Linked DNA regions of Caenorhabditis elegans. The protein of the gene in region 2 interacts with the protein of the main gene of each other region in a pairwise test. Each region holds a gene or a part of one and is shown on either strand. Other genes may lie near its edges.

What was found.
Region 1: the proteins of tmed-3 (region 2) and rnh-1.3 interact in a two-hybrid assay, tested with the Caenorhabditis elegans proteins (one large-scale study listed by BioGRID).

Annotation. Positions count from the first base shown.
Region 1 is NC_003279.8:9,709,542-9,712,579, reverse strand, and holds rnh-1.3 (RNase H type-1 domain-containing protein), read left to right. Parts: upstream 1-1,834; 5' UTR 1,835-1,836; coding exon 1,837-1,924; intron 1,925-1,972; coding exon 1,973-2,064; intron 2,065-2,111; coding exon 2,112-2,300; intron 2,301-2,369; coding exon 2,370-2,420; 3' UTR 2,421-2,492; downstream 2,493-3,038. Other genes in the region: fce-1 (CAAX prenyl protease 1 homolog), read left to right, coding at 1-138, 185-905, 952-1,019, 1,065-1,373.
Region 2 is NC_003279.8:6,560,930-6,564,301, forward strand, and holds tmed-3 (GOLD domain-containing protein), read left to right. Parts: upstream 1-1,769; 5' UTR 1,770-1,777; coding exon 1,778-1,918; intron 1,919-1,970; coding exon 1,971-2,261; intron 2,262-2,426; coding exon 2,427-2,606; 3' UTR 2,607-2,731; downstream 2,732-3,372. Other genes in the region: xpg-1 (XPG (Xeroderma Pigmentosum group G) DNA repair gene homolog), read left to right, coding at 1-373, 424-584, 631-762, 849-1,370; bag-1 (BAG family molecular chaperone regulator 1), read right to left, coding at 2,782-2,910, 2,973-3,316, 3,361-3,372.

The DNA.
Region 1 (3,038 bases), 3.1 Mb from region 2:
CATAAAAATGCTGTAAAACGTCCCAATGAAGTCAAAGAACTTATTGGAGAAGAAGATTATAAGAAGGCCAGAGACTATAAAATTGATAATCATTTATTCGGATTCTTCCATAGTTGGTTTAATCAGCTTCTCCTCACGGTTAGTGACTGCTGAAGTTTACTTTAAATGAAAAAATAATTTTCAGGCACAATTGATTGGAGGATATTATCCATTCCTTTGGTACGCAACGGCTAGTTATCCATTGCATGTGGCTGTATTTCTCTCAATAAACTCAATAATTGAAACAATCATCGATTTACCTTGGGATCTATATTCCACTTTTATTATCGAAGATGCCCATGGATTCAATAAACAAACTATTGGATTCTATTTCGTTGACAAAATTAAGAAAATGCTCGTCGGATTTGCTCTCACTATGCCAATCGTTTATGGAATTGAATGGATTATTGTCAATGGTGGACCATACTTCTTTGTCTATATTTGGTTATTTGTTTCTGTTGTTGTGCTACTTTTGATGACCATTTATCCAACTTTCATCGCTCCACTCTTCGACAAATATTTCCCATTGCCTGATGGAGATCTCAAGACGAAAATTGAACAATTAGCTGCTTCTCTCAGTTATCCATTAACTGAACTTTACGTTGTCAATGGCTCAAAACGCTCGGCTCACTCCAATGCTTACATGTATGGATTCTGGAAGAACAAGCGCATTGTGCTCTATGATACTTTGCTAAGTGGAGCTGAAAAGGAGAAAGTACATGAATTGTATGTGGCAGCTGGAGAGAAAATCGAAGAAACTGAAAACGACAAAAAGAGAGGAATGAACAACGATGAAGTTGTGGCCGTTCTGGGCCATGAATTGGGTCATTGGGCTTTATGGCACACTTTGATCAATCTTGTCATCAGTAAGTTGATTTAACTGAACTCACAGCAAAACGTAGAATTTTTCAGCTGAAGTCAACTTGTTCTTCTCTTTTGCAGTTTTTGGATACTTTTATAAATGGGAAGCCCTCTATCAAGTAATTATATTTAAACCATTAAATTCTTAAAATTTTAATTTTCAGGGATTCGGCTATCACGATACTCCACCAGTCATTGGCATGATGCTCATCTTCCAATTTGTCCTCGCTCTCTACAATCAACTCGCTAGTATTGGAATGGTTATTCACTCCCGTTCTGCTGAATTTGGAGCTGACGAGTTTGCTGCTAACCTCGGACACGGAGAAAATCTTATTGGAGCTTTGACCAAGCTTGGTGTTGACAATCTGTCGATGCCTATCAATGACTCACTCTACTCATGGTGCACTCACACACATCCTCCAGTTGTTGAAAGAGTAGCTGCTGTTAGAGCCTTCCAGGCAAAGAATAAATAAATTCCCATGTTTTACTACTTGTTTCTTGAATGCCAAAGTATTTTATATAATTTAATTTATGATTGTAATGTGATATTATTGCATTTTTTGAACTTAAATTTCGTTAATATTCTCTATAGTAAATAAATTTTTTTAAACAAAAACTGGAAATACAATTAAATTCCAAGGAAAATTTTAAAACGGAACGAGACTGATCTCTCGGTCTCTCATTCGCACAAACTGTCTCATAGAAGGGTCTCGCCGCGACTCAAATACAGTACCCGCGGAGAACAAAAAAAATGTTTTCTAGAATGTTCGCTTTATTGTTGTTTTGTTTTGTTAATTCCCGGGAATTTCCAGAAGTTTGCTTTCTTCTGCGAAACAATTCATATCATCATTTTGTTTTTATTAAGATCTCCGTTTTCATTCTTCTTTTCTCTCTCGCATGCTTTTTTCCTATCAAATGAACTGAAATTTTAAAGAAATGCCGTACGACTTCTACACCGACGGTTCCGCTCTCGGAAACGGCCAACAAGGCTCCAGAGGAGGCTATGGAGTTCACGTTCCAAGTGGTACGGTTTTTTGTGCAATTAATTGTTCCTTATTTGAACATATTTCAGATACATCGAAGAATGTGAGTGGCTCTTATCCACACGGACCACAAACCAACAATCGATATGAGCTGGAAGCCATCAAGCACGCCACCCAAATGGTAATTTTCAAACATTCGTACCAACATTCAATTTTCTGCATTTTCAGGCTCGTGATGTTCCAGACAGCCACGTGAGAATCCACACTGATTCCAAGAACGCGAAGGATTCTGTCACCAAATGGAATGACAACTGGAAGTCGAATGGCTACAAAACTTCTTCGGGACAAGATGTGAAGAATCAGGATCTCATCAGAGATATCGACCGCAATGTTCAAGCGCTCAAGCATAGTGGAAAGGTAAGATTATAATTATTATATATAATTCATAAAACACCGCTTTTTAATGGAAATAATTAAAAATTACAGACTGTCGAGTTCGAGCATGTCCGCGGACATAGCAATAGAATGTACATTTGAGTACCCAAGCCCTCTATTTTTCCCGCATCTTTCCTTTTTGAATAAAAGCAATAAAGATGAATAGTGGATAAACTTTCTTGGATTGAAGGAATATGCTCCGAAACACTGGGAAAGCTTCTTGAAAATATCAAGAATCGCGAGTACGGTAGCTGATATAGTGTATCTCATTTCAAGTCCTGGTCTCGAAGAGAAGTGATTTTTGCGCCAAAACTACGACATCCGAAAAAAACAAGAAAAATCTATGAAAATTCCGGAGCAACGAAAGTTTGAAACTACAGTACTCGTTAAAGGCGCACACCTCTTTGCCTTGAACAAAAATGTGTCGTGTTGAGACCAGGCACTGTACCGTTGGCGTAAAAATCGCAAAATTTCGGTTAATACGATCTTCAAAAATATTCAAACATTTTTTTTTTAATTGAATGAATGTTTGACAACTTTTGTGAAATCACAGCTCACTCGCTCTATTCAACGTATTTGCTCGCACCCAAACAGTTTGTGTGATCCGAAATGTTTTTTTTATAGAGCAGATTGCTCTTTTCGCAGTGAGCATTGCTTGCATTGCACCGCGAGCAGGCCAAAAACATCAGTCTATTTTCTCTTTTCAAATACATTTCGCAC
Region 2 (3,372 bases):
AGTGAAGATGAGGAGATTGAATGGGATCCTCAACGATACGATAAGCCATCAACATCTTCTGCTCCTGCTCTCATGGAAGATTATATTCATTTGAACTATAGTGATGAGGATGATAAGACGCCTGAATTATATCGTGATCTTCAAGAATTTCTTACAAATGCAGGCATTCCGTGGATCGAATCGCCTGGTGAAGCGGAAGCTCAATGTGTTGAGCTGGAGAGACTTGGATTAGTTGATGGTGTCGTTAGTGATGATAGTGATGTGTGGGCGTTTGGAGCACAACATGTATATCGTCATATGTTTTCTAAGAATCGGAGAGTACAACGATATGGAGAGCAGACAACAGCGAATAGAGATAATTGCAAACTTTTTTGTAAGATTTATGGCAAACATTAGAATATTTCCTGAATTCTAAAAATCTAGGTCTCCAACGTGAGGACTACATTTCAATTGCTCTGCTCTCTGGGGGTGATTATTGTGCAGGACTTGTAAAAGTTGGAGCCATTGGTGCACTTGAACTGGTGTCCGAGTATGTTGAATGTAGGATTGATAATACAAATGATCTTAAAGTCATTGAGAACAGGGTAAGATAATTACACATGTGATGGAGTCCCTTATGAAAAGTTTCAGATCATGAGGCTCCTTAAAAACGTGGAAAGTTTGTTCTTAACTGCTCCGGATGATAAACGAGTTGCTAGTCGAAATGCAATGATGTTGAGAAGACATGTAACTGAAGCAAACGATATGGAGAATATCAAATGTGTACTTATTTTTAGATTTTTGAAAACAAAACAACATACTGAAACTCATGTTTCTCTTAAATTCCTAATAGTTCAATTCAATTTCAGGTGTGCTCTAATCAAGACGCTGTGCATGCCTACCTTCATCCCATCGTTGATTCATCATCAGAAAAACTTCGATGGCGCCAGATGAATATTCCATTGATCCGTCGAATTCTTCATCAACGCCTTCAATGGCCTGATCGCAAACAGCACAACGAAGAGCAGAATTCATTTGACGCTTTCGAAAAATGGAATAATTTTCTAAAATCCGGTGGACAAAGCCAAATGCGATTAGACCGATTTTTCGCACAGAAATTGGATAGTTCTCTCGAACTAAAATGGTCGAAAAAAATTGTCGAGGCGCTGGACAAAATTGGACAACGTGTAGCGGGAACTATGAAAAACAATGAAATGTCAAAAGAAAAGAAAGTTGATAAACAAATCAAGAAGAGCAAAACAGCTGTGAAACGTGTAACTCGTGCCAGAGGAATAGGTCGCGGGAAAGGAGGAGCACTTCTTGTACCAGCTAATAGTAAACTGAATCTATCTGAGGAAAGCAGTTCTAATGATTCTTTTGATGAATTTTAGTTTTTAGCTAATTTATCTATTGAAAATAAATAAAAATGTTGCATTTTACACCAATTTCTTTTATTACGTTGAAGTTATTCTGTCAATTTGTGAATATTTTATTGATATTAATATTTAATACAAAATAATGAATTTAGCCTTCTCTTACAATTGAGCACAAAATGTGCAATGTTCTAATGTGTTCTATTTTATGTTCTATTTATAATATATTTATTGTATAATTAAATATAAATATTGTGCGCTGCAAGTGCGCCCCTTTGAACTAGTGTTCTGTTGGCATTTTCCATGCGTCGAATTTCTCTCCTTTTCACGTTTTCTCTCTATTAATAGAATAATTATAATTTTGTATTGCTTCTTATCCAATTCGAATAAATTTGTAAAAATATTTCAACTTTTCAGCCAAGATCATGCTCAAATTTGTCATAGTTTCATCAATTCTTGTGGCCCTAGGTCTGTCAATCGAATTGACATTCGAACTTCCAGACAACGCAAATCAGTGTTTTTATGAAGATCTGAAAAAGGATGTTGACACAGTGTTTGAATTCCAAGTTAGTATTTCAATTGAAAATCGTAGAAACTGTAATAATTTGATAATTTCAGGTTGTTACTGGAGGCCATTATGACGTAGACTTGATCATTGAGGATCCAAATGGAAAAGTTTTGTATAAAGATACTAAAAAGCAGTACGACAGTATCAACTTCAAGGCCGAAGTTGAAGGAACATACAAAGCATGCTTTTCAAATGAATTCTCCACATTCTCTCATAAAATCGTTTACATGGATTGGCAATTCGGTGATCAAAATGCTCTTCATGCTGCCGTTACTCAAGGAGCTCATGCAATGACTCAATTAGAAAATTATGCAGTCGCTATTGGAGATAAATTGAGAACAGTAAGATTTTTATTTAAAAAGATTTATTTTTACAATTAGAAAATGCTCAAAACGTAACTTTTTCGAATTTTATGAATTCGTTCATTTTTCCAACTCTATTTTGCTGGGAGCTTACTAAAAAAGTTGTTCACCCGACATTTGACATACTTATAAACTTTTTTGTAGATTGATGACTATCAAACTCATCATCGTCTCCGTGAAGCAACTGGTCGCAAACGTGCAGAAGAACTCAACGAGCGCGTGATGATCTGGTCCCTTGGTCAATCTGCCGTCGTAGTATTCATTGGAATTGGCCAAGTTTTCCTGCTCAAATCATTTTTCAATGATAAAAGAACTCGTTATTAATTTTTTCACACCATTGCTCTTTTTTTTGTAATTAGCAGCCTTCTCATTTTAATGGGTCCCGTCAGTTGTTTTGCCCCTTTTCCTCCCTTTGATACATAGCATAAGAATATAATTTATTGATTTATAACTGAGTTTCATAACATAAAAACCCGAAGCAATTTTATGCAATTGAGAATTATTCAGGAATGTCTCCGTTGAGAACTGACTGATATTCCTGGAGTCTCCGAAGAAGTGCGTCATTTTGATTAAGAAGAGTTTGGATTCCGTTTACGAGCGTCTTGCGTTTTTCACGGTTTCGCTTAGCCTGAAAGTTGATTGAACTGAATCGAAAACTTATTCAAAGTACAAAATAAAATTATGACACACCTGATTTTCGGGAGTAGTTTCAGTGATAATATTCATCCCATCAAGAGTTTCCAGATGTCTTTCCGCCTCTTCGTTGAAATATTTCACTTTCTTTTCCAGCTTTTTCCCCATCTCGACCTGCTTTGGTTTTTCGAGAAAACCACGTTCCAAATCAGCGACATCTCTCAAATTGAGATCATAGGCTTTTTGAAGATTGCTCAAATTATGCTTCTCATATTGCATGAGCATTTTGAAGCCCGCGTCATCAACCAAAGCATTTTTTCCACCCATCACAATGATTTTATCATTTTCTTTAAAATTTAAAGTAGAAAGGGAGACATCGTCGGCGCCTTGAAGAAACTTTCCTGTAAAATACTTTGTCTCATTATTCCAAAAAATCAGAAACAACCTCTGTGCAACA